4 linked regions of the Anolis sagrei genome follow. The main gene of each other region encodes a partner of the protein of the gene in region 3 in a complex. Links are inferred from orthologs where the notes say so. Each region holds a gene or a part of one and is shown on either strand. Other genes may lie near its edges. The genes, in order: MED20, MED7, MED16 and CCNC.

The links.
Region 1: MED16 (region 3) and MED20 share a complex: the UniProt entries of both Homo sapiens proteins name them as parts of the mediator complex. The link is inferred for Anolis sagrei from reciprocal best matches to the Homo sapiens genes MED16 and MED20.
Region 2: MED16 (region 3) and MED7 share a complex: the UniProt entries of both Homo sapiens proteins name them as parts of the mediator complex. The link is inferred for Anolis sagrei from reciprocal best matches to the Homo sapiens genes MED16 and MED7.
Region 4: MED16 (region 3) and CCNC share a complex: the UniProt entries of both Homo sapiens proteins name them as parts of the mediator complex. The link is inferred for Anolis sagrei from reciprocal best matches to the Homo sapiens genes MED16 and CCNC.

What each region holds. Positions count from the first base shown.
Region 1 is NC_090024.1:191,063,464-191,071,185, forward strand, and holds the start of MED20 (mediator of RNA polymerase II transcription subunit 20), read right to left. Parts: upstream 3,008-7,722; 5' UTR 2,843-3,007; coding exon 2,829-2,842; intron 231-2,828; coding exon 76-230; intron 1-75. Other genes in the region: bystin, read left to right, coding at 5,662-6,004. UniProt on the Homo sapiens protein: Component of the Mediator complex, a coactivator involved in the regulated transcription of nearly all RNA polymerase II-dependent genes.
Region 2 is NC_090022.1:80,580,609-80,587,576, reverse strand, and holds the start of MED7 (mediator of RNA polymerase II transcription subunit 7), read right to left. Parts: upstream 3,017-6,968; 5' UTR 2,819-3,016; intron 1-2,818. UniProt on the Homo sapiens protein: Component of the Mediator complex, a coactivator involved in the regulated transcription of nearly all RNA polymerase II-dependent genes.
Region 3 is NC_090034.1:57,074,404-57,081,332, reverse strand, and holds the start of MED16 (mediator of RNA polymerase II transcription subunit 16), read right to left. Parts: upstream 3,019-6,929; 5' UTR 2,930-3,018; intron 2,422-2,929; 5' UTR 2,266-2,421; coding exon 2,251-2,265; intron 1-2,250. UniProt on the Homo sapiens protein: Component of the Mediator complex, a coactivator involved in the regulated transcription of nearly all RNA polymerase II-dependent genes.
Region 4 is NC_090021.1:99,275,920-99,282,842, reverse strand, and holds the start of CCNC (cyclin-C), read right to left. Parts: upstream 3,009-6,923; 5' UTR 2,858-3,008; coding exon 2,826-2,857; intron 443-2,825; coding exon 336-442; intron 1-335. UniProt on the Homo sapiens protein: Component of the Mediator complex, a coactivator involved in regulated gene transcription of nearly all RNA polymerase II-dependent genes.

The sequences.
Region 1 (7,722 bases), on a different chromosome or scaffold from region 3:
TTTACAAATTGAATGCCATTACATTTGCTTGAAGGAAGTGAATGCACCAATTATGGTAGAAAAATTAATTTTTACCTTGATTGCCCATTGTGGAAGCTGCAGTGTGGTATGTTTCACAGTCTACACAGAATGTTCCTTGTTTTTCTGCTCCAAGTAGTTCTAGTTTTCGTGTTAAGATTTCAACTGTTTGCTGGACACTTTTCCCTTCTGCTATGGGCATCTGAGATACACTAACAAGGGAGAAAAGCCATTGATGAAAATAAGTTTCAAAACACGGTAAGAATCACTGCTACTTTCCACTTCATGTGCTACCAAATAAAATAGTTTATCTTATATAGTAACATACTACTACATGTTACCTACTAACATACTCAATGCCTTATAATAAGAGAAAGAGGAGGAAATGGAACAAAAAGTCAGGTTCCTGCCATAAGAACCTTACAAAGACTTCAATGAGGTGGAAGATAACAAAGGGAGGAGAACAGAGAAAGACAAGTAATCAGATGTTTAGACCCATATCCAGATTTCTATATTATGCTGCATTGTGTATGTCTGATACAAAACAGAGAGAAAATGCCTTTTAAAACATTCCATCTCCTCCAAGCCTCTTTGCCCTTTCACTTCACATTGGTGAATAAAGAAAAATGAAAGCCAAAGCTAATTTATCTATCTCTTACATTTATTTCCTAGCTTTCCAACAAATGGTGCTCTAGATCAGGGTTTAACTTTTTCCACTCATGATCCCTTTCCACCCAAGGGAGTATTAAAACTGCATTAACGGCAATCTAATGCTACAGGTTGAGTATCTTTTATCCAGAAATCCCAAATTTCCCACATGTGTCTGAGATATTGACACCTTTGCTTTCTGATGGTTCAATGTACCAAATTATTTAAAATACTGTGCATAAAGGTGCCTTCAGGCTACGTGTATAATGTGTAAATGAAACATATATGCTGTGTTTAGGCTTGGCTCCCATCTTCAATATGTTACATCAGGCATGGGCAAACTTTCTAACTTGGGGGCCTCATGGCAGGCTGGAGCAGGGTGGGCAGGCCAGGAGCAGGGGGATTCTCTCCAAGTCCCCTCCCTGCCCTTTCCTCCCCTTCCTCTTCTCTTTCGGAGGCAGAAAGCAAAGGAAAGATGGGAAACATTTGGATCCCAAAAGGTTAGCCTTGGTCAGGATGAGGTGGATACGAGAGGAAAAAGTGTATCTATTAGACCCCATACTGCATACTCCTGATATAGAATCCTAGAGCTGGAAAGGACCCTCAAGGGCCATCCAGTCCAACCCCCTGCCAAGCAAGAAGGCACAATTAAAGCATTCCCGACAGACAGCCTCTGCGGAAAAGTCTCCAGAGGAGACTCTACCACACTCCCAGGCAGCCTAGGCCACTCTCCAACAGCTCTTACTTTCAGGAATTCTTCCTAATCTTTTCCCCTGCCATTTGAACCCATTGCTTCCTTGTGTTCTGGTCTCTAGAGCAGCAGAAAGTTGGTTTTCCCCCTCCTCTTCAATGGGACACCCTTTTAGATCTTGAAAATTGGTTCTCATGTTCCTTCTCTACCTTCTCTTCCCCCAGGTAAACATGCCCCAGGAGGAAAGAAGGAAGGAAAAAGAAAAGGAAGGAAGGTAAAAAGGGAAGAAGAGAAGGATGGATGGAAGGAAGGGTGGAGGGAATGCGGGGAGGGAGGAAAGAGGGAAGGAATCATAGAATCATAGTTGGAAGAGACCTCATGGGCCATCCAGTCAAACCCCCTGCCAAGAAGCAGGAATATTGCATTCAAATCACCCCTGACAGATGGCCATCCAGCCTCTGTTTAAAAGCTTCCAAAGAAGGAGCTTCCACCACACTCCGGAGCAGAGAGTTCCACTGCTGAACGGCTCTCACAGTCAGGAAGTTCTTCCTAATGTTCAGATGGAATCTCCTCTCTTGTAGTTTGAAGCCATTGTTCCGCGTCCTAGTCTCCAGGGAAGCAGAAAACAAGCTTGCTCCCTCCTCCCTGTGACAAAAGGGAAGGAAGGAAGGAGAAAGAGGGAGAGAAAGAGGGAAGAAAGACAGAAGACTGGAAGGGTAGGAGGGAAGGGGGAAAGGCAGAAGGAAAGAGGGAAGGAAGGAAGGATAGGATGGTGAGCGAGAGGAGGGCCTGCAAAAAGAGTCCAAGAGGCCGCATTCGGCTCCCGGGCGTGGGTTTCTCCATACCTGTGTTACATGCAGGTGGTGTCAATATCTTATTTACTAACACCTTGAAGATGGGAGCCAAGCCTAAACACAACATTTATGTTTCATATACATGTTATGTGTACGTGAAACATAAATGACTGGTTTGATTAGGCTTAGCAATTAGGCGATGCAAAAAAAAAAAAATCCCACACACAAAAATACCTGAAATCGCAAACTTGTCTGGCGCCAAGCAATTCGGATGAGGGGCAGATACTCCCCTGGCATTACATTGAGGAGATTTAGTAACTCAGGCATGGGTAAACTTCGGCCCTCCAGGTGTTTTGGACTACAACACCCACAATTCCTAACAGCCTACCGGCTGTTAGGAATTGTGAGCGTTGTAGTCCAAAACACCTGGAGGGGCGAAGTTTGCCCATGCCTGTAGTAACCCTACCTGTCACCAGGTCCCTCTCCTGCCCCTGACACTCGTCATTCGCTCGTTCACACGTTACACTCCATACCCGACCCCTCATTCTTGAAACGAATGTACATCCAAGCACAATCGCAGCAGGCCTCCATCTTGGCCGACACTGAGAAGCAAAAACATGCAACGGTCTCAAGGTAAAATGTTTGGCTAAGGCTACAGCAGCCTTGGGAAGCCGTACCAGGTGACACCCATGTTTCCTCGGCTGTCTCCTCCGCGGGGGAGGCGTGAACCCGGGCGGAAAGGTGGCCCAAGACTTCTCAGCCTCACTCAGCGCCCTCTGCCCGGCGGTCTTCGCGGAGCCTCACACAGCCTCGCCTCCTCGGAGGGAAGAACGCCGAAAGGAAGTGACGTCATCGCGGGGAATGCGGGCGAGTGTCGTCCTCGCCGCCTCCTCTCGGAAGCGGCCCCCTGGCGGCCGGAGCAGGCAATGCAGGCCCACCTCCAACTCAGGTGGTCCTGCATTGCCCATCCAGCAAAAGAAAGTGGAGCCAGGCTTTCCTGTAGGGAGGAAAGTATTGACACCTCCGGCCCATCCTCTGTTCGGATATCAGCCAGCATATTGACGTTTTAAATCAAGAAACAACTTCCTAAGATCTACTTTATATATACGTATATTTAGGTTTAAAATTGTATTTCATCTATATAAATAAAAATGTAATGTTCGTTTGTGGGATTAACATAACTCAAAAACCACTGGACGAATTGACACCAAATTTAGACACAATACACCTAACAGTCCAACGTGTGACCATCACCTGTAAACACACACACAAACACACACAAAACCCCAGCCGAACAGACTTAAAACCCCCCCAAAAATACCATATTTACATATACACAGAATCATAGAGTTGGAAGAGACCTCATGGGCCATCCAGTCTAACCCCCTGCCAAGAAGCAGGAATATTGCATTCAAATCACCCCTGACAGATGGCCATCCAGCCTCTGTTTAAAAGCTTCCAAAGAAGGAGCCTCCACCACACTCCGGGGCAGAGAGTTCCACTGCTGAATGGCTCTCACAGTCAGGAAGTTCTTCCTCATGTTCAGATGGAATCGCCTTTCTTGTAGTTTGAAGCCATTGTTCTGCGTCCTAGTCTCCATGGAAGCAGAAAACAAGCTTGCTCCCTCCTCCCTATGACTTCCTCTCACATACTTATACATGGCTATCATGTCTCCTCTCAGCCTTCTCTTCTTCAGGCTAAACATGCCCAGCTCATTAAGCCGCTCCTCATAGGGCTTGTTCTCCAGTCGCCCTCCTCTGGACACATTCCAGCTTGTCAATGTGTCCAGATACACATACACTCATATACATATACACATGCACACATTCATACACACACACATATATATATGCACAAACACACACAGATATACACATATACACAAACATACATACACATACACACAGATACACACAGATATACATATACACATGCACACACATATACATATCCACATAATATTTCGTTCAGACGATCAGAATCTCCTTGAAGTTCCCAATTTTAGGACCATTCACCTGATGTCTACTAGGCGTAGAACTTTCACGGTGGTGGCTCCTTATCTATGGAATGCTTTGCCAGCAGGAACAGGAGCTCTCCGAGATTTACTTGCTTTTCGTAGAGCTTGTAAAACTTATTTATTTAGGGTGGCATTTGAATTTTGTTGATCAAAGTTTTTCTTGTGTATATTGTAAACCGCTCCGAGACTTCGGCGAGTGGAAGTATATAAAATTGATTAATAAAATAAATAATATATATATATATATACACACACACACACACACACAAATATGCATATAGACAAGCACACACATATACACAATATGCATGCACACATATAAATACACATATATACACACACTTATATACACAAATATATACACATACATAAACACATATATACACACACACAAAACACATATGCACAGACTGGGCTACAGCAACACGTGGCAGGGGACAGCTAGTTTATAATAATAATAATAATAATAATAATAACTTTATTTATACCCTGCCACCATCTCCCCAAGGTGACTCGGGCGGCTTACATGAGGCCAAGCCCAACAAAATACATCAGTAGAAAACAAGGCAAGCAAGCAAATAAAACACAGTACAATATCATAAATAACATATAAGCAGTAACACACAAGAGATTTAAAAGACTGTGGGAAAGGCCGGATGTAGTAGATTAAATTTTTAAAATACTGGGTGTGAACAGAAGTAGGGTATCTAAACGGGGGGTGGGGCGGTTAGAGAGTAATGTAGGGAAATAAATCCAACGGGTAGTGCTTCAGAGGACATATTGCAGAAAATTGATCAAATTAGGGCATTGTTTCCTTTATTCAGGGAAGGCACACTGAAATAGCCATGCTTTCAAGATGTCCCAGTCCTCAAACACTCTGTGCTTCATTCGTAAAAATGCACTCACAGAGCTCAGGCGGTGTTGTATTTAAGTGTCAATGTGGACTTTTGTGGGGAGGTGGCTGCCAAGGTAGTGGAAATTATCAACATTTTCTAATGTTACACCATTAAGCTATATTTCTGGCATTGGAGAGGGATTGGCTGGTGACTGCTGGAAGAGCACTTTGGCTTTCTCGATGTTCAATGACAGGCCAAGCTTTTCATATACTTCTGCGAAGGTGTTTAGAGTGGCATGTAGAAATTCTGAATGTGCACAGACGATGTTATCATCAGCATATTGGACTTCTGTAATAGATGTTGTCACCTTGGTTTTGGCTTTCAGTCTGCTGAGGTTAAATAGCTTTCCATCTGTCTGATATTTTGCATATACAATTTTCCAAATGTATATGCAAAATATTAGAGATGTGGGCAAACTTGAGCCCTACCGGCTGCTAGGAATTGTGTGAGTTGAAGTCCAAAACACCCGGAAGGCCCAAGTTTGCCCACGCCTGATTGGTCTCAAAAGCGTGAAAAGTTGGGAAAGCTCTGCTCTATATCTATTCCGCCCCTGCGGTCGCAAGCCCCGCCCCTTTTCTGGCCTTCTCTTTCCGGCGCATGCGTCTTAGCCTTTCCTCTCCCCCACGTGTCTGGGCGATCATGCCGAAAGAGAAGCGGGTGCGAGGGGCCTCCTCGGCGGCCGGGGTGAGCGTGCCTCTGGCCGAGCAGATCCTGCAGGGCGAGGCGGTGAAGCCCAGTCGGCGGGTGAAGCGGAGGGGCAAAGCCGGCCTGCATGGCGGGGGAGCGGGAGGAGAAGAGGAGGAGGAGGAGGAGGAGAAGTACGTGGACGAGCGGCTCTCCCGGAAGATCCTGGAGCAGGCGCGGATCCAGCAGGAGGAGCTGCAGGCCGAGCATGGCCTTTCCGGCAGAGAGGAGCCCAAGAGGAAGACCACCGTCCTGGGTGAGTGGGCAAAAAGCACGTGACATCACATTATTAAGCCCATCCTGGGATTAAACAAACCAAACACCCCGCCATCCTCCAGATGCGATGGACTACAACTGCCATCATCCCCAACTCCTTCAGTACAGCCAAGTAATAAAAATAGGCCTAACTCTGCCTTTCTATCACACTGTGTAACACAATGTTTGTTTCTGGGTTGTAAACGTCATTTCCCAATTGGTTATGTTACAAAACACAGCAAAAGTTTTGTTTAACTGGATTGTTGTGAGTTTTCCGGGCTGTCTGGCCATGTTCCAGAAGCTAGACAAGTGAGGTTTATATATCTGTGGAATGTCCAGAGTGGGAGAAATAACTCTTGTCTGATGGAGGCAAGTGTGAATGTTGTAATCGGTCACCTTGATTAACATTGAATGGGCTTGCAGCTTCAAAGCCTGTAAACTCCACTTGCCTAGTTCCCAACAAATGTCACAATCTCTCAGGATGCCTGCCATAGATGTGGGCGAAATGTGAGGAGAGAATGCTTCTGGAACATGGCCATTACAGCCCGAAACTCACAGCAACCCAGGGCCCTTCCACACAGCCATATAACCCAGAATATCAAGGAAGAAAATCCCACAATATCTATTTTGAACTGGTTTATCTGAGTCCACGCTGCCATATATCCCAGATAATGTGGGATTTTATTCAGCTATGTGGAAGGGGCCCCGGTGATTTTGGCCATGAAAGCCTTCAACAACATTATTTCTTTGATCCCCCCCCCCCCCCCCGGTTACCCGAGAGTTCTGGCTGCTTGAGTTGTGGTTAACTCAGAGTCTACTATATTTTGTCCAAGTAAATGAACTAAGGGTGATATTAACTGTATTTTCATAGCATTGCCATAAGATGTTTCAACCATATACAGTAGACCAGGGATCCTCAAACTAAGGCCCGGGGGCCGGATGCGGCCCTCCAAGGTAATTTACCCGGCCCTTGCTCAGGGTCTACCTAAGTCTGAAATGACTTGAAAGCACACAACAACAACAACAACAATCCTATCTCATCAGCTAAAAGCAGGCACACACTTACCATTGAAATAGTAATAAGTTTATATTTGCTAAAATTGTTCTTCATTATAATTATTGTATTGTTTTTAAGTGTATAGGAATTCATTCGTGTTTTTTTTTTTTCAAATTATAATCCGGCCCTCTAATAGTTTGAGGGACTCTGACCTGGCCCTCTGTTTAAAAAGTTTGAGGACCCCTGCAGTAGACTCTCTGTTAAGTCATGGGATAGATAAATGGCAATTTCTGTAGTTTCTGGTAGCATGGGAGTTGCTATTAAAATTAGATCTAATACTATACAGGTAAAGGTTTCCCCTGACATTGTCTAGTCGTACCCAACTCTGGGAGATGATGCTCATCACCATTTCTAAGCCGAAGACCGTACGCCTCCAAGGTCATGTGTCTTAAGCAGCCGAGGGGGAAAAGGAAGGGGCCTGAGGCTGTTAGGAATTGTGAGAGTTGAAGTCCAAAACACCTGAAGGGCCCAAGTTTACCCATGCGTGGTCAAAGTCAAAGTAAGTGAAGCTAAGGATAACAATGCATTTTCAATGCATGTCCATAACTAGTTCTTCTTTGCAGCTGGAAAAAAACCCTTTTGACCACTATCCCATTGATTACAATAAGAACCTATTCTATACTTTAGGATCCCACTCTGGTATTCTCCAGGTTGGTACAGCT
Region 2 (6,968 bases), on a different chromosome or scaffold from region 3:
AGATGCTCGTTTCTATCTGTATTATAAATACATGTTATACTAAAATTAAAATGAAACTTATAATACAAATTAAGAGAAATGTATTTTTAAAGGTTAGAACACTAGAATACAATTAAGCAGAACACAAAAGAACGAAATAAAAAGTAATTTAAAAATCACCACAACAAAAGTATTTTGAATAACTCATTATAAATTGGTGAAACTTCTCTGTGGGAGAATTCTCCAATTTGGTTTGCATTCAATAGTATTCAAGGGCTCTCCCCAAAATAATGCATGCTGGGACTTTAGCTCCAGTGAGGGAAGGAGAAACAGTTTAAATACAATCACATCAACATGTATTTTAAGGCCTTTTTTGAAGGGTTTATCATACTGCAAATGCACCAGATCCCCTCCAATCCTTGAAGCTAAGTGTCAGCTCAGGTCAATACTTGGGTGGGAGACCACCAACAAATACCAGGCGCAGTAGCCTGTACTTCAGAGGAAGGAATTGGCAGAGTATTCCTGACAGAAGAAAATTCTATGAAATTCATAAGTCAACAGGTGACCCAAAGGCACAGACAGACACAAAGGCATTTTAATATTTTAATGCTTTAAGTTTATAAATTGCTTAATTGTTTTTGTACCCTTATATATATTGTTAGCTGCCTTGAGACCCATGAAAGATGGATATAAATGAATAAAAAGGATAACTTATAAAAATACGCCAAAAACATTATACATGACAACACTGAGACCACCACTAAGTGAGCAGAGCCCCTCCATCTGCAGTTTTTGAAAGGATGGCAAGGCAACACATTTCCAACGTGAGCTGCTTTGAGTCTCCTTGTGGAGAGAAAAAGCATGGTATAAATATAAATGCAATAATAATAATAATAATAATAATGATAATGATAATATCTCCTCAGCTGTTGCAAGAAAATTGCACAGACGGACTACAAAGACACAACTCTGTGGCTCAGATGATTCACTGGAACTTATGTCACAAGTACCACCTGCCAGCAGCAAAGAATTGGTGGGATCATAAACCCGCAAAGGTCGTGGAAAATGAACCTGCAAAAATACTGTGGGACTTTCGAATCCAGACTGACAAAGTTTTGGAACACAATACACCAGACATCATGATTGTGGGAAAGAAAAAAGTCTGGATTATTGACGTCGCCATACCGGGTGACAGTCGCATTGAGGAAAAACTCAGCCGCTATCAAGACCTCAAAACCAAACTGCAAAGGCTCTGGCATAAACCAGTACAGGTGGTCCCAGTAGTCATTGGAGCACTGGGTGCTGTGCCAAAAGATCTCAGCCGAAATTTGGAAACAATAAACATTGACAAAATCACGATCTGTCAATTGCAATAGGCCACCTTACTTGGATCTGTGCGCATCATTCGAAAATACATCACACAGTCCTAGACGCTTGGGAAGCGTTCGACTTGTGATTTTGTGATACGAAATCCAGCATATAGATCTCGTTTGCTGTGACATACTGTGCTTTTGTGTCAATAATAATAATAATAATAATAATAAAGGGAGCTTTAGCCTGAGAAACACTGTTTTTGTATGCCTTCAAGTACTTTCTAACTTTTGGCGACCCTAATGCAACCCCATCACCGGGCTGTTTTTGTTTTTTGCAAGATTGGTTCAAGGCCTCCCTCCCCTCCTCCTTTGCCATCCTCCAGGCTCCAGACAGTGACAGTTGTCCCAGGGCCCTTCCAGACAGGCCCATTATCCCAGGTTTTCTGCTTTAAATTTATTATTTATTTAGACCATTTCTACCCCGCCTTTCTCACCCCCGAGGGGGGACTCAGGGCGGCTAACACAGGCAACTATTCAATGCCAACAGTATCAAAACAACAATATAAAACAGCAATATGAAATCCATTACATAACAATTAAGTAGTGATATTAGTTAAAATTGCATAACCACATAGGACATATCACAGAATCACAGGTCATAAAGCCATTTCCAATTTTCAAACAATCCTATTGTCTGAGTTCAGTGCCTAAAGTGCTGTTGTGCCCACTAGCCAAACGCCTGGTTCCAAAACCACGTATTTAGTTTTTTCCCTAAAAGTAAGGAGGGAGGGCGCCGATCTAATCTTGCTGGGGAGCGAATTCCATAAGCGGGGGGTCACCACTGAGAAGGCCCTGTCCCTTGTTCCCACCAGACATGTTTGAGACGCTGGTGGGACCGAGAGCAGGGCCTCCCCAGAAGATCTTAAATTATGAGGTGGAACGTAGAGAGAGATACGTTTGGATAAGTAAGCTGGGCTGGAGCCGTATAGGGTTTTATAGGCCAAGACCAGCACTTTGAATTGTGCTCGGAGGTGGACCGGCAGCCAGTGGAGCTGACGCAGCAGGGGGGTGGTATGCTCCCTGTATTGGATTATATAAGTCCGCACTGCCAGATAATCTGGGATAAACAGAATACCTGGGATCAGATCCTGAGATATTGAGCCTGTCTAGAAGGGCCCTATCTTCAATGGCTCAGTGCTATGGGAGATGTGGATTCATAAGGTCTTTAGCCTCCTCTGGTGCCTCAACAAACTGCAACACCCTGGATTCGATAGCACTGAACTAAGGCAGTTAAAGTGGTGTCAGACTGCATGAAATGTATGTGGCAGACCAGGCCTGGGCAAACTTGGGCCCTCCAGGGTTTTGGACTCCAACTCCCACCATTCCTAACAGCCTCATTCCTAACAGCCTCAGAAGGGGCCTGAGGCTGTTAGGAATGGTGGGAGCTGGAGTCCAAAACACCCTGGAGGGCCCAAGTTTGCCCAGGCTTGTGTTAGACGTATCCCAAACGGATGAGCCTTACAGACCCTTGACGGGCAGCGACACCCACCCGCGGAGGAGCTCTCCGCTCGCCCCGGGCTCCCAATTCGGACGAGGCCGGCTTCCCTCTCCTCTCTTCGGCTTCCCCACGGAACAAGAGCACCAAACACCCGCGCTCCCACCGGAAGCCCCGCTTCCTACGCCTGCGCTCTCCTTCCTCCCTTTCCCTCGCCAACTGGTGACGTACATCCGGCAAACAGCCCCTCCCCCATCTAATTTTCCTATTGGCTGACGTGGGATGGCGTCAGCGAGAGCCGCGCGGAGGCAAAGATGGAGGGAAGCGAGCGAGCATTTGCCCTGAAGCAGGGGAAGAAAAGGATCTTCTCTCTGATTGGCTGCTCCTGACGTCAATCAGGAGCTCTGGAGTATGATTCCCTCCCCTTCCCCCCACGTGTAAATACATACACATATGGTATGGTATGGCAAACTTGAGCCCTCCAGGTGTTTTGGACTTCAACTCCCACAATTCCTAACGGCCTCAAGCAGACAAGAATTCAGGCAGAAAACAGCCAGGCTTTGAAGCTAATCAAGCTAATCAAGCTGGCCAATTGCCTCAAACAGACAAGAGTTCTTTCTCCCACCCTGGACATTATTCCACAGATATATAAACCTCACCTACCTAGTTTCCAACTAACCTCAGAACCTCTGAGGATGTCTGGCATAGATGTGGGCGAAACATCAGGAGTGAATGCTTCTGGAACATGGCCAGACAGGCTGGAAAACTCACAGCAACCCGACAATAAATCGCTGGGTTGTTGTAGGTTTTTTGGGGCTATATGGCCATGGTCTAAAGGCATTCTCTCCTGACGTTTCGCCTGCATCTATGGCAAGCATCCTCAGAGGTAGTGAGGTCTATTGGAACTAGGAAAAAGGGGTTTATATATCTGTGGAATGACCAGGGTGGGACAAAGAACTTTTGTCTGTTGGAGCTAGGTGTGAATGTTTCAACTGACCACCTTGATTAGCATTTGATGGCCTGGCAGTGCCTGGGGCAATATTTTGTTGAGAGGTGATTAGATGTGCCTGATTGTTTCCCCTCTGTTGTTTTGCTGTTGTAATTTTAGAGTTTTTTAATACTGGCAGCCAGATTTTGTTCATTTTCATGGTTTCCTCCTTTCTGTTGAAATTGTCCACATGCTTGTGGATTTCAATGGCTTCTCTGTGTAGTCTGACATGGTGGTTGTGAGAGTGGTCCAGCATTTCTGTGTTCTCAAATAATATGCTGTGTCCAGGCTGGTTCATCAGGTGCTCTGCTATGGCTGATTTCTCTGGTTGGAGTAGTCTGCAGTGCCTTTCATGTTCTTGGATTCTTGTTTGGGCGCTGCGTTTGGTGGTCCCTATGTAGACTTGTCCACAGCTGCATGGTATACTGTAGACTCCTGCAGAGGTGAGAGGATCCCTCTTGTCCTTTGCTGAACGTAGCATTTGTTGGATTTTCTTGGTGGGTTTGTAGATTGTTTGTATGTTGTGTTTCCTCATCAGCTTCCCTATGCGGTCAGTGGTTCCCTTGATGTATGGCAGGAACACTTTTCCTCTGGGTGGATCTTCATCTTGACTCTCGTGGCTTGTTCTTGGTCTTGCAGCTCTTCTGGTGTCTGAGGTGGAGTATCCATTGGCCTGTAGAGCCCAGTTGAGGTGGTTCAGTTCATCTTGGTGGAGGTGGGGTTCGCAGATTCTTTTTGCGTGGTCTGCCAAGGCTTTAATGGTGCTTTCTTTATAGTCCACTTTTCTCCCACGAAGGAAGCTACCAAAGCAGCTTCCAACATACTAAATACAGTACAAAACAACAGCAATCAAAGCACACATATATAAAGCAACCCATAAACATAAGATATGCATTTTAAAACAATATACATTAGTATGAAAGCTTGCCAGATCATAATGCACCTCTCTCCTTTATATTTTATGCAATATTCGTTTTCTTTATATCACCCCATTTCTATATAGAAAATCAGAAGATATTTTCTGTTGTTTCTAACACAGCATGAAGACTAAATTGCATAGACAATCTATAGTAGTGTACTAGTACTAGTTAGTTAGATCCTGAACAAGGAAATTTATAATGCTACATATTATTTATACTTTGAAAGGAAGGCCTTGTTACTGCAAAGTACAGTAATATTTTTTCCTGTTATGCCTCTCTTATGGCAGCAGAGAGCAGCAGTGAGCTTATATTGGGTTGTGAGTTTTCCCTGCTTTGTCAGTGATCTGACTCTTATTATTATTATTTATTTACTTACTTTACTTATATACCGCTGTATCTCAAGCCCGAAGGCGACTCACAGCGGTTCACAAACAGTAAAAACAGTAGAAACAGCAGTGGTTCCATACAACATATAACAATTGACTTAACACATTATCCATAAATTAACAATAAGCAATTACAATGCACAATTATTACAAAAAACAACCGTACCCAATCTTCTCATCATCCAAGCGTAGTCCAGGTTCGTCGTCCATTGTTCCATTCCTATGTTCCATTACCAGATTGCACTAAATTACTCAAACGCCTGCACAAACATCCAGGTCTTCACCTTTTTGCGGAATACCATTAGAGATGGTGCTAGTCTAATGTCCGTAGGAAGGGCGTTCCACAGCTGAGGAGCCACCACCGAGAAGGCCCTATCTCTCGTCCCCGCCAGCCGAGCTTGAGAAGCAGGCGGGATTGAGAGCAGGGTCTCCCCGGAAGATCTCAAAGTCCTGGTGGGTTCATAGGCAGAGATGCGGTCAGATAGGTAGCTTGGGCCGGAACCGTTTAGGGCTTTAAAGGCCAACGCCAGCACTTTGAATTCAGCCCGGTAGCAGATCGGTAGCCAGTGGAGTTGGCGCAACAGGGGGGTTGTATGCTCCCTGCGCTCCGCTCCTGTTAAAATCATGGCTGCCGAGCGTTGGACTAGTTGGAGCTTCCGAGCTGTCTTCAAAGGCAACCCCACGTAGAGAGCGTTGCAGTAGTCTACACGGGATGTAACCAGAGCGTGGACTACCGTGGCCAAGTCAGACTTCCCAAGGTACGGGCGCAGCTGGCGCACAAGCTTTAGCTGTGCAAATGCTCCCCTGGTCACCGCCGAAACCTGGGGTTCCAGGCTCAGCGATGAGTCCAGGATCACACCCAAGCTGCAAACCTGCGTCTTCAGGGGGAGTGCGGCCCCATCCAACACAGGCTGTAACCCTATGCCCTGTTCGGCCTTGCGACTGACCAGGAGTACCTCTGTCTTGTCTGGATTCAATTTCAATTTGTTCGCCCTCATCCAGACCGTCACAGCGGCCAAGCACCGGTTCAGGACCTGGACAGCCTCCTTAGTAGCAGGTGGAAAGGAGTGACAGAGTTGGACATCATCCGCGTACAGATGACACCGTACCCCGAAACTCCGGATGATCTCCCCCAGCGGCTTCATGTAGATGTTAAACAACATGGGAGACAATATTGAGCCCTGAGGAACCCCACAAGACAATGGTTGTGGGGTTGAACAGGTGTCCCCCAACAACACCTTCTGAGATCGACCCTCCAGGAATGACCGGAGCCACTGCAAAACAGTTCCTCCAAGACCCATCCCTGCGAGGTGTCCCAGAAGGATACCGTGGTCGACTCTTGGCCCCCTTCCACACTGAACTGGATTATATGGCAGTGTGGACTCAGATATTCCACTTTAAATAAGATATTGTGAATTATCTGCCTTGATATTCTGGGTTGTATGGCTGTGTGGAAGGGCCCTTGGTTTTGTGAAAGGAAATTGGTGACAAACACCGGAAATCTCTGTATTGTTGTAAGTTTTTGAGGCAGTCTAGCCATGTTCTAGAAGCATTCTCTCCTGACGTTTCACCTGCAACTATGGCAGGCATCCTCAGAGGTTGTGAGGAAGCCTGCCATAGTTGCAGGTGAAACGTCAGGAGAGAATGCTTCTAGAACATGGCTATACAGCCCGAAAAACTTACAACAACCAGGGATTCCAGCCATGAAAGCCTTCGACAATACACTGAAAATCCCCTTTCAGATGAAAAAGTGCAAAACCTCTATGCATGAAACAATTGACAGGCCCCTTCCACACATTGGACTGGATTATCTGACAGCACAGACTCAGATAATCCAGTTCAAAGCAGATATTGTGGAGTATCTGCCTTGATGTTCTGGATTATATG
Region 3 (6,929 bases):
GGGCCAGAGAAGCACAGAGTTCAGGGTAACCAATTTATTAAGGCAGCGTTTCTCAACCTGGGGGTCGGGACCCCTGGGTGGGTCACGAGGGAGTGTCAGAGGGGTCGCCAAAGACCATCAGAAAACACAGGGGTTTTTTTGTTAGTCATGGGGGTTCTGTGTAGGAATTTGGCCCAAAATCTCTCTGCCTGTCCTTCTCTTCCTTTTTGGTGTTGGTGAACTACAACTCCCAGAATTCAAAAACAGCCCTGCCAACCCCACCAGTATTCAGTGTTGGCCATGTAGATCATGTGCCAAGTTTGGCCCAATTCTATCATTGGTGGGGGTCAGAATGCTCTTTGATTGTAGGTGAACTGTAAATCCCAGTAACAACTCTCAAATGTCAAGGTCTATTTTCCCCAAAATCTATCTGTGTTCATATTTGGGCATATGGAATATTTGTGGCAAGTTTGGTCCAGATCCATCATTGTTTGAGTCCACAGTGCTCTACCTAGATGTAGGTGAACTACAACTCCAAAACTCAAGGTCTGTGCCCACCAAACCCTTCCAGCATTTTCTGGCGGTTATGGGAGTTCTGTGTGCCAATTTTGATGCAATTCCTTCGTTGGTGTTCTGAATGCTCTTTGGTTGTAGGTGAACTTTAAATCCCAGTAACTACAACTCTCAAATGTCACGGTCTATTTCCCCCAAACTCCATCTGTGTTCATATTTGGGCATATGGAATATTTGTGGCAAGTTTGGTCCAGATCCATCATTGTTTGAGTCCACAGTGCTCTCTGGATGTAGGTGAACTACAACTCCAAAACTCAAGGTCTGTGCCCACCAAACCCTTCCAGCGTTTTCTGGCGGTTATGGGAGTTCTGTGTGCCAATTTTGATGCAATTCCTTCGTTGATGTTCTGAATGCTCTTTGGTTGTAGGTACACTTTAAATCCCAGTAACTACAACTCTCAAATGTCAAGGTCTATTTCCCCCAAACTCCATCTGTGTTCATATTTGGACATATGAATATCTGTGGCAAGTTTGGTCCACATCCATCATTGTTTGAGTCCACAGTGCTCTACCTAGATGTAGGTGAACTACAACTCCAAAACCCAAGGTCTGTGCCCACCACACCCTTCCAACGTTTTCTGGCGGTTATGGGAGTTCTGTGTGCCAATTTTGATTCAATTCCTTCGTTGGTGTTCTGAATGCTCTTTGGTTGTAGGTGAACTATAAATCCCAGTAACTACAACTCTCAAATGTCAAGGTCTATTTCCCCCAAACTCCTTCTGTGTTCATATTTGGGCATATGGGATATTTGTGGCAAGTTTGGTCCAGATCCATCATTGTTTGAGTCCACAGTGCTCTACCTAGATGTAGGTGAACTACAACTCCAAAACTCAAGGTCTGTGCCCACCAAACCCTTCCAGCGTTTTCTGGCGGTTATGGGAGTTCTGTGTGCCAATTTTGATTCAATTCCTTCGTTGGTGTTCTGAATGCTCTTTGGTTGTAGGTGAACTATAAATCCCGGCAACTACAGCTCCCAAATAACAAAATCAATCCCCCCCAACACCACCAGTAGTAGTCAAATGTGGGCATATTTCATATTTGTGCCAAATGTGATTCAGTGAATGAAGATACATCCTGCATCTCAGATATTTACATTATGATTCATAACCGTAGCAAAATTACAGTTGTGAAGGAGCAACTAAACTAATGTTATGGTTGGGGGTCAACACAAGATGAGGAACTGCATTATGGGGTCACTTCATTGGGAGCCCCCAGTGGCGCAGTGGGTTAAAGCACTGAGCTGCTGAGCTTGTTGATCGAAAGGTCGCAGGTTCGATTCCGGGGAGCGGCGTGAGCTTCCGCTGTCAGCCCTAGCTTCTGCCAACCTAACAGTTCGAAAACATGCAAATGTGAGTAGATCAATAGGTACCGCTCCGGCGGGAAGGTAAGGGCGCTCCATGCAGTCATGCCGGGCACATGACCTTGGAGGTGTCTACGGACAACGCTGGCTCTTCGGCTTAGAAATGGAGATGAGCACCACACCCCAGAGTCAGACATGACTGGACTTAGTGTCAGGGGACTACCTTTACCTTTACCTCATTGGGAAGGTTGAGAAACGCTGTATTAAGTGATTATAGTCAGTCTGTACCTAGTTTCCTGATTGTCTGAACATACGCAGAGCCAAACAAGTACACTTTAAGTGCCTGCAGCCTTTGGAACTCTCTGCTGCAGGCACAAAAGGAACAAATAATAATTTTACCCAGGGAGGTTTCATGCAACATCAGCGTGCTGGAAGAAGCAAAGACCACCAGCATTGAACCGATGGTCCTCCGCCACCAACTCCGCTGGACCGGCCACGTTGTCCGGATGCCCGACCACCGTCTCCCAAAGCAGTTGCTTTACTCCGAACTCAAGATCGGAAAACGGAATGCTGGTGGGCAGGAAAAGAGATTTAAAGATGGGTTCAAAGCCAGCCTTAAAAACTCTGGCATAGAAACTGAGAACTGGGAAGCCCTGGCCTTTGAGCACTCCAGCTGGAGGTCAGCTGTGACCAGCAGTGCTGCAGATTTCGAATGGAAAGGGAGAACATGCAGATCAAGAATAGGGCTCCACAGTCACCTACGGACTACACTTGGAAGACAATCCTATTCGGATCTCCTAAGAAACTTCTATCTTATCTATTTTAGGTTCATCAACTCTGATGCAATTCTGATTTGCAGCTATTGCAAGCCTTTGGCTGAATTGCATCCATTGCTCCAAGCAATGCAAGAAATCAAAAGCCAAAGAAATTAACAAAAGAAATCAGATATTTTTTTAAAATTACATTCACTCCAATTAAGCTGCTCTCCACGCTTTTTAAAACCTTAGATTAGGCGGGTGTGGCTTTAAATCCCCCCCTTTCGATTAGAAATGAACTCTTCCACCCCACCCCTACTCACCTGGTTCTTTTAGAAGCGTCCAACCACACTGCGCCTGCGCAAACTCTTCTGTTTCACGCGCGCCTCAGAATATAGTTGTCTATAAAACTGCCTGATGGCCCCCAACGGAAGTATACACTCCTTCTACGGAAGTGTTTTTTTTCTTCTTTCCCGATCGCTCTTCAAAGTATCTAATTGGAGTGAAGAATTGAAATCCTTCCGTTTGTCTTCAAACGTTGTCATGTCATAGTAGAATACAATGTTTTGTTTTTTTTCTTCAGGCAATACAATAGACAAATCCTTAAGCGAGAAGCCCCAAGACTCTTGGGCCAAGAGGGAGGGTATTATTTGCATATGCGTTTTCCCATCAGCACTGGAAAGAAGGGAGAAATTAAAACGGGATTTTTTCCATTATAATATTGAAATATGAAAGATAAATGGAAGATATAAGATTAAATATGTTACAAGATTTGCAATCCGGTTATCGATGAATAACTCGGGTGTAAATTATAGTTACCATAATGTTAAAATATGCTAATAGTCATGCTTTAAATACAATGTGGAGAGAGCTAGCATTTGTGCTCGCTTCGGCAGCACATATACTAAAATTGGAACGATACAGAGAAGATTAGCATGGCCCCTGCGCAAGGATGACACGCAAATTCGTGAAGCGTTCCATATTTTCTTGCCAAAATAGATGCTTCTTTTGCTTACTTTCCATCCTCTATCACAGTGTTTCTCAACCTGTGGGGGTCACGAAGGGGTGTCAGAGGGGTCGCCAAACACCATCAGAAAACATATATTTTCTGTTGATCATGGGTTCTGTGTGGGAAGTTTGGTCCAATTCTATCATTGGTGGGGTTCAGAATCTTATTTCATTGTAGGTGAACTATAAATCCCAGCAACTACAACTCCCAAATGTCAAGGTCTATTATTCTCAAACTCTTCCAGTGTTCTCATTTCAGCATATAGAGTATTCGCGCCAAGTTTGGTCCAGATCCATCACTGTTTGAGTCCACAGTGCTCTCTGGATGTGGGTGAACTACAACTCCAAAAGTTCAAGGTCAATGTCCACCAGATCCTCCCAGTATTTTCTCTTGGCCATGGGAGTTCTGTGTGCCAAGTTTGGTTCAATTTCATCATTGGTGATATTCAGAATGTTCTTTGATTGTAGGTGAACTATAAATCCCAGCAACTACAACTCCCAAATGACAAACTCAATCCACCCACAACCCCACCAGTATTCAAATTTGGGCATATTGGGTATTCGAAAATACAGTACATCCTGCATATCAGATATTTCCATTACGATTCATGACAGTAGCAAAATTACAGTTATGAAGTAGCAATGAAAATGTTATGGTTGGGGGTCACCACAACGTGAGGAACTATACTAAGGGGTCGCAGCATTAGGAAGGTTGAGAACCACTGCTTATCGATTCCTTTGCCTTTGTTTTTCATAGGCATTTTTTTGGATCTTAGGCATTATAGAATCAAAGAGTTGGAAGAGACCTCATGGGCCATCCAGTCCAACCCCCTGCCAAGAAGCAGGAATATTGCACCCCTGACAGATGACATTATTAATTATTATATATTAATAATGTCCTGGAGAATCATATAATAACAACAACAACAACAACAACAATGTCCTGGAGAATCAGCTAATCATAATATGAATATAATAATATATTATATATTATTATTATTATTATTATTATTATTATTATTAATATAATAATAATAATACCCTGGAGAATCATATGATGATGATGATGATAATGATGTCCTGGAGAATCAGCTAATAATAATAATAATAATTATTATTATTAGAAACCTGGTGGGATGACTCCTATCGCTGGAATGTAGACATCGAGGGCTATAACCTCTTTCACAGAAACCGAACAAAGGGGAGAGGAGGCGGAGTAGCCTTATATGTCAAAAACTCTTATGCTGCAGAAGAGATGCAAGACAGCAATCCGGGAAACCAGCTTGAAAGCATCTGGATAAGAATCAAGGGAACTGGGACTCAAAAAGATCTCGTTGTAGGCATCTACTACAGACCTCCAAGCCAGGAGGAAAAACTTGAAGTCTTCTGCCAACTGTTGACCAAACAGGCACAGAGAAGAGATGTAGAAGTCATGGGTGATTTCAACTATCCCGATATTTGCTGGAAAACAAACTCAGCCAAGAGTACAAGGTCCAACAAAGGTCTCTTCCAACTCTTTGATTCTATGATTCTATGAATATAATAATAATAATGCCCTGGAGAATAATAATAATAATACGATGATGATGACGACGATAATGATGTCATAGAATCAAAGAGTTGGAAGAGACCTCATGGGCCATCCAGTCCAACCCCCTGCCAAGAAGCAGGAATATTGCATTCAAAGCACCCCTGACAGATGGCCATCCAGCCTCTGTTTAAAAGCTTCCAAAGAAGGAGCCTCCACCACACTCCTAGGCAGAGAGTTCCACTACTGAACGGCTCTCACATTCAGGAAGTTCTTCCTCATGTTCAGATGGAATCTCCTTTCTTGTAGTTTGAAGCCATTGTTCCGTGTCCTAGTCTCCAAGGAAGCAGAAAACAAGCTTGCTCCCTCCTCCCTGTGGCTTCCTCACATATTTATACATGGCTATCATATCTCCCCTCAGCCTTCTCTTCTTCAGGCTAAACATGTAAAGGATCACGGGTTTAGGGTGTGGGGTCCCTTTTCGAAGAAATCCACAGAGTCCAATACGTTCATGTAAGACACCGTTTATTCAACCTGATCCGCATGAGGTGAACAGACAGCAACTCTGCAAGTGATTTCACAGACTGTCGCGCCCTCCTTGGCTTTTTGCAAACCTTTATACTCAGGTAATACAAGGGGTTTTTTGGTCATGGAAAGTACTCTCTTTCCAGCCCCCCTCCCTTGACCTTTTGAGGGAAAGTACCTTCTTGCACCTGCAGACTTTTGGATCTTTTCTTTATAGAGCTGCCAACCTGGGGTTTGGGACCACTTTGCGAGGAGGTGTCAGAAGGGTTGCCAAAGACCACCAGAAAACACAGCATTTTCTGTAGGTGAACTGTAAATCCCAGTAACTACAAGTCCCAAATGTCAAGGTCTATTTCTCCCAAACTCCATCTGTGTTTATATTTGGGCATATTGAGTATTCATGCTAAGTTTGGTACAGATGCATCATTGTTTGAGTCCACAGTGCTCACTAGATGTAGGTGAACTACAACTCCAAAACTCAAGGTCAATGCCCACCAAATCCTCCTAGTTTTTTCTGTTGGTCAGGGGAGTTCTGTGTGCCAAGTTTGGTTCAATTCCATCGTTGGTGGAGTCCAGAATGCTCTTTAATTATAGGTGAACTATAAATCCCAGAAACTACAACTCCCAAATGACAAAATCATAATTTTTTGAGTGATGGTCACTCCTTGTGTTGTGAGATGTTTTGTTGCCAGATTTGGTGTGATTTCGTTCATTGGTTCTTTTGTTTTTAGGGTACTCGTTATGCACAGAGCATTTATATATATATAGATTATGATTAGCTGATTCTCCAGGACATTGTTGTTGTTGTTGTTGTTGTTGTTGTTGTTGTTGTTGTTATCTGATTCTCCAGGACATTATTAATATATAATTAATAATGTCATCTGTCAGGGGTGCTTTGAATGCAATATTCCTGCTTCTTGGCAGGGGGTTGGACTGGATGGCCCATGAGGTCTCTTCCAACTCTATGATTCTATATAATGCCTTTCTTTTCCCAATTTCCCTACTTAGCCTTCCAATCGGGTTTTGCAGCTTGGCAGCTCTATAAAGAAAAGATCCAAATCATTGCCTATGAAAAACAAAGGCAAGGGAATCGATAGATGGAAAGTAAGCAAAAGAAGGATCTATTTTGGCAAGAAAATATGGAACGCTTCACGAATTTGCGTGTCATCCTTGCGCAGGGGCCATGCTAATCTTCTCTGTATCGTTCCAATTTTAGTATATGTGCTGCCGAAGCGAGCACAAATCCTAGCTCTCTCAACATC
Region 4 (6,923 bases), on a different chromosome or scaffold from region 3:
TGTGGAGTGTAATTTCTGCTCCCTCTACCTTTCATAATATTCTCTTGCAATCTACTTTTAAAAACTGGGGGACCTCCAGTACAAATGGAGGGGCTAAAGGGGGTGATGATAGTTTCATCACCTAAGTAGGAAAATAAAATAATCTATGTTGAACAGTGCTAGATTTAAGCTGAATGCTTAAGCTTCTGCTGCAAGCATGTCCAAGTTTCTTTTCGCTAGGTACATAACAGATAAATCTTCTTGCTTTATAATTTTGCATGTTTTGTGAAGTTAGCACAAAGCAATACAACTGCAACACACATCAGTGGGGCAAACTAGAACTGAAATCATGTTACCATTCGTAAAGAATATCTGTAGCTTCCAATATTCTTCTTCTGTCAAAAATTTTAAGTCCTTTTGGCGTTCCTTCAACAGATCTTGTTTATCCAAAATCCATTGCAAGCTGCAAAGGAAGAAAAAATAGAGAGTACATCTTTTAAACCAATTTTGAGTATTGCATGTATTAAACATGCTTGTCAACTTTCATTCTACAGCCTGATGCCAAAATAACAAACTTCTCTGCATATTCAATTAATCATATTGAAAACTACTGTTAATTTGTGTTGTCGAAGGCTTTCATGGCCAGAATTGCTAGGCCATTTCCAAGCTGTGTGGCCAAGTTTTCCAGGCTGTATGGGCATTCTCTCCTGACATTTTCTGAGGATGCCTGCCATATATGTGGGTTAAATGTCTGGAGAGAATGCTTATGGAACATGGCCATTCAGCCTGGAAAACTCACAGCAACCTACTGTAATTTGTTTCCTTTTGGGTTTGTTTTCTGAACTATTAGCTATAAGAAAAAGTAACTAACTGGGGGGAAAGCTGGCCTGTGATAAACTATGATTTTTCTGCTTTGGTAGCTATTTCAAAGGCAAATTTGAAATTGGATCCAGACTATTTAAAGGTCCATTATTTTTAACTGTCCTGTCACCATCATAGATACTATCAGTGAAAACATGAGAAAGAGTCTGCTGCTCTTGGGCTCCTTCCCACAGATCTGCTTGGCCTCGTTCTCTAGCTTCTTTGTACCTACAGGCACAGCCCTTTTATTTAGTCCCGCGTTCCATATTTAAAGAAAAGCTTTCCAAACATTTCATGTATGTTACATTCATTTTAGGCATGTATCATTTTGCCTCACAGTAATTCAGTTTCACTAGCAAACTGGAGGTTAAACCAACTCCTTATAAAAAAATATATAGATTTATACAAATTGTAATAACAAAATGTTTGGAAGCACAACATATCTCATGAAAACTTTGGATTTATATATATTTAAAAAAACGCTTTATTGCTTATTTCATGTAGACTTTTGTGTGGCGCGCCTACACACTACTTGTTACTTTTGTGTGGCGCGCCTACACACTGCAGCCACACACTAACACAATAGTTCTCAACCTGTGGGTCCCCGGGTGTTTTGGCCCACAACTCCCAGAAATCCCAGCCAGTTTGCCAACTGTTAGGATTTCTGGGAATTGAAGGCCCAAACATCTGGAGACCCACAGGTTGAACACCACCGATAGAGGACTTGGGGCGGATTCCAGCATACAGAAAAACAAAGACAAACATTCAATTCCTTGAAAGGGAATTGCATCAAATATATCATATAATATTATCCCGCTGAGCAATGTTTGGATTTTAGTGCTGTAATGTAAATATGGATATTTTGTGTAGCTTTTCCCTGAACATTGTTTTATATATGTGAAAAATATGTATGCCAATATAATATTATTTTTAAAAATTGGTAAGGATAAGGGATACTAAAACCTGCACTATACCTTCCGCCCCAAAAGGCAGCACCTCACAGCTAACATAAAACTCAATTTTAAACTATGGATTTAATTTGATATTAATATTGCTGTTCTACAAAAGGGTCTATCTAGATTATTGATTTTAATGCTGCTTGTCTCTACTCCATCTGACATGGCTCAATGCCATGGAATCCTGGGAGCTGTAATCTTACAAGGTCTTTAGCCTTCTCTGTCCTTTGGGGGTTTTTTTGTGTATATCAGGAGCGACTTGAGAAACTGCAAGTCACTTCTGGTGTGAGAGAATTGGCCGTCTGCAAGGACATTGCCCAGGGATGCCCGGATTTGTTACCATCCTACGGAAGGCTTTTCTAATGTTCCCTCATAAGAAGCTGGAGCGGACAGACAGGAGCTCAACCCGCTCCCTGGATTCTGCTGGCACAATGGTTTAACCCACTACGCCATTGAGGGGAGAGGAGGGCGTTTTTTGTCCTTTGGTGAGGCACCAGCACTTTCCTGTAGGAGACCTTGCAAAACTATAATTCCCTGAATATCCTGAATATGTGGCAGTTAAGAATGGGATCAAACTGCATTAATTCTACAGCACAGATGATGTCCATGTTGTGCCAATTCTAGAGAGAAATAAAAATATCATAATCATCTCTATTCTCTATAGCATGCATAGGCCAACTTGGGCCCTCCCTCCAAGTGTTTTGGACTTCAACTCCCACCATTCCTAACAGCTTAAGCGGCTGAGGGGGAAAAGGAAGGGGCCTGAGGCTGTTAGGAATGGTGGGAGTTGAAGTCCAAAACACTTGGAGGGAGGGCCCAAGTTGGCCCATGCCTGCTCTATAGCAATTAAACACTCTCCTTGCCAAGTTTGCCAACACCCCTCAGTCCTCCTGTGGCCCGGGATTCCAGGAGCCCCCTTCAAAACAGCAGGGCCAGGAAGTGTGTGGCGTGGCATCCTGAAAAGCCTTCCCCTCCCCGCTCCCCCACAGCCAGGGCCCCCCACCAGAGAGGGGCGAGGGGTTCACTCACTAATGCGAGCTCTGCCAGAAGTTCCCTGCCATGAAGAGGGCGCGGGGCTCGCTGCCGGGTCTCTTCCCTGCCGACCCACCCCGGGCTCTCTCTTCCAGGAACAGGAAGGACTCGGCAGCGCCCACCCGGCCACCAAGCTCATCAGGGCCGCGGCAGCAGCAGACTCGGCCCCGGGGCTGCGCGCGCCTACTCTGTGTCCCGGCCTGCTTCCGCTGCCGCGCGCATCCGTTCCGGGGAAAAAAGGTTCCGCCCCTCTCAATAGGGACAAGCCGTATTCCCGCTTCTCCTGGACTTATTAGTTGAGAGCAAAGGCATTCGACACAGTGAATCGCACCGCCCTCTGGACCATCCTCCAAAAAATCGGGTGCCCTAATAAATTTGTGAACATCCTGAGCTCCTCCATGATGACAACAGACTTGGACAGCAGTGGGTCCCAAAGTGACCCATTTAAGGTAAAATCAGGCGTCAACATTTTTATTATTGCCCCAACTGTATTCTCCATCTTCATCACTATGATACTTCACCTTGTTGATGGGAAGCTTCCCACCAGAATGGAAATCATCTATCGGACAGATGGCAAGCTGTTTAACCTCAGCAGACTGAAAGCCAAAACCAAAGTTACAACATCTGTTATAGAACAACAATATGCTGATGACAATGTCGTCTGTGCACATTCAGAAGAAGATCTACAAGCCACTCTAAACACCTTCGCAGAAGCATACGAGAAGCTCAGCCTGTCATTGAACATTGAGAAAACCAAAATGCTGTTCCAGCAGTCACCACCCAACCCCTCTCCAATGCCAGAGATACAGCTTAATGGTGTAACATTAGAAAATATTGACCATTTCCACTACTTTGGCAGCCACCTCTCCACTAAAGTCAGCATCAACACCGAAATACAACACCGCCTGAGCTCTGCGAGTGCAGCATGTTTCTGAATGAAGCAGAGAGTGTTTGAGGACTGGAACATCCGTAGGGATACCAAGGTGCTTGTTTATAAAGCTATTGTCCTCCCAACCCTGCTCTATGCCTGTGAAATGTGGACTGTCTACAGATGTCACATGCAACTCCTGGAACGATTCCATCAGCGCTGCCTCCGGAAAATCCTGCAAATCTCTTGAGAAGAGAAACAGACAAACGTCAGTGTGCTGGAAGAAGCAAAGACCACCAGCATTGAAGCAATGGTCCTCCGCCATCAACTCCGCTGGACCGGCCACATTGTCCGGATGCCTGACCACCGTCTCCCAAAGCAGTTACTCTACTCCAAACTCAAGAACAGAAAACGGAATGTTGGTGGACAGGAAAAGAGATTTAACGATGGGCTCAAAGCCAACCTTAGAAACTCTGGCATAGACACTGAGAACTGGGAAGCCCTGGCCCTTGAGTGCTCCAGCTGGAGGTCAGCTGTGACCAGCAGTGCTGCAGAATTTGAAGAGGCATGAATGGAGGGTGAAAGAGAGAAGCGTGCCAAGAGGAAGGCGCATCAAGCCAACCCCGACAGAGATCGCCTTCCACCTGGAAACCACTGCCCTCAATGCGGAAGAAGATGCAGATCAAGAATAGGGCTCCACAGCCACCTACGGATCCACAAGAATACTGACCCTGGAAGACTATCCTACTCATCCAACGAGGGATTGCCTAAGTGCAGATTAGTTGAGGGTGAACCCACACTGTAAAATGAATGCCTTTTATTGCCACGGCTTAATGCTAGGGAGTCCTGGCAGTTGTAGTTTTATAAGGTCTCTCGCCTACTCTGCCAAACAGGGCTGGTGCCTCACTAAACTACAGCTCCCAGGATCCCATAGTATCTTTATTTATCGTGTCTGAAGCAAATTGAAAATAAAGTTATAATGTTAAAGTTATAATGTATTTAAAATGTATTTATGTATCTATATAAATAAAAATGTTATGTTCGTTTGTGGGATTAACATAACTCAAAAACTACTGGACAAATTGACACCAGATTTGGACACAATACACCTATCAGGCCAATTAGTGACCTTGGAATGATCTCCTTTGAATGATCTCCTTGGATCTCTGCACAGCTTCATCCAAAGGCATGTTGAGTTTCTGATTCTTCACTCATAAAACCACTGAAAAACACAGCAGAAGAGACTTAAAAAGCCAAAAAACAAAAACCATTACAACGCATGCGCAAAACCACACATATACACAAATACATATACACATATATACACACACAAAACACATATACACAGACGGCCACAGCAACGCTTGGCAGGGGACGGCTAGTTTATAATGTTTTTAAAAGCTTCAAACAAAGTTAATACCTTGGCTCTATGATACTGAAGGGGACAAGGGACCTGATTTCATTTTATTAATAAATAATAGCAATAATAATAAAATAATAACTTTACTTTTGTATCCCGCCACCATCTCGGGGCGGCTTACATGGGGACCAAACCCAGACAAGCAGAAATTTAAAATATAACACAGTAAAATTCAACTACAAAACATCATAAAAACATAACCATCCACAATCAAAACATCCAATAACCTAACCTAGAGGCCATATATTGAGCTGAGGGGCGAGGCAGGAGCTTGTGCAAAACAGTTGCAAGGGCAGGGCTGATAGGAAAGTGCAGGTATGAAGTATGAAGAATAGTTCGATTAAATAAATAGTCTTAGCCTTAGAAATCAATTGAAGATTGTCTTAGTGTTAGAAAAATTTAGCCATGTGAAACACACACAAAGGGAAAAGGCTCACATAAACAGAACATTGAAAACATGCACCAAATGGAACCCTAAGGAGAGAAGCAGGGCAATAAACAGGCCTACATTTCGTTTGACCAGAAGCTTTCCACTTGGAGTGCCTCTGGTGTCACTATAAGAAGCCCCTCCATTGTGCATGTGGCAGGACTCAGACTGCATTGTAGTAAGTGGTCCCTTACTACACACTTGCCCTTCTCCACATTTGCATATCGTGGACTCCAATTTGTAGCCCCATTTCTTAAGGTTAGCTCTGTACCTCTTGGTGCCAGAGTGCAGTCTGTTCAGTGCTTTCCAAGTCACCCAGTCTTCTGTGTGCCCAGGAAGGGAGTTTCTCATTCGGTATCAGCCACTGATTGATGTTTCGGGTTTTAGCCTGCCACTTTTGGACTCTAGCTTGCTGAAGTGTTCCTGCGAGTATCTCTGTAGATCTTAAGAAGCTATTTCTTGATTTAAGGCATTTGCTTGCTGACTGATATCCGAACAAAGGATGGGCTGGATATGTCGACGCCTTGGTCCTTTCTTTACTGGCTGCTACTTACCAATGGATAACAGGTGGTGCAATACCGGCTAAACAGTATAATTTCTGCAGTGGTGTGGGGCATAGACATCCTGAAATATTCTACATTGGGCATGCACACTCAGCAGCAGAATAGCAAAGTGCAAGGGCAGATGTCTTCACTGTATCTGGTTGTGATCCCCAGATTGTGGCAGTCAGCTTTTGTATGATATTATTTCTAGCACCCACTTTTTGCTTGATATTCAAGCAGTCCTTCTTATAGGTCTGAGCACGGTCCAAGGTAACTCCCAGGTATTTGGGTGTGCTGCAAGGCTCCAGTGGGATTCCTTCCCAGGTAATCCTCAGAATTTGAGATGCTAGTCTGTTCTTAAGGTGAAAAACACATGTCTGCATTTTAGATGGATTAGGGATCAGTTGTTTTTCCCTGCAATAGGCAGTAAGAGCCCATAAAGCTTCCGAGAGCTGCTGTTCAACCATTTCAAAGCTCCCATAGCATTAAGGCATGGCAAACTGTGGTGCCAAACTGAATTAATTCAACAGTGTAGATATACCCTGAGAGAAAGAAGCTGATGCAATCATTACTGTTGTTATTATTATTGTTACCTATTATCTCCACATAGTGGGGGACAGCAGCATATCAAAATACAACATGAACTATCAGTTTAAAATACATAATGTAAGTTTTTGCAGGCCCCTTCTACACTGATCATTTCATACAGTTTCAAACTGTTTTTTAAAAGTTATTTTACTGATGATTACGTAGAAAATCCTGGAACCAATTTGAGGCATGGATGATGATTATACAGAAATCACAGAGTACTGATGCACACATTAAGGGCTTTCTTCCA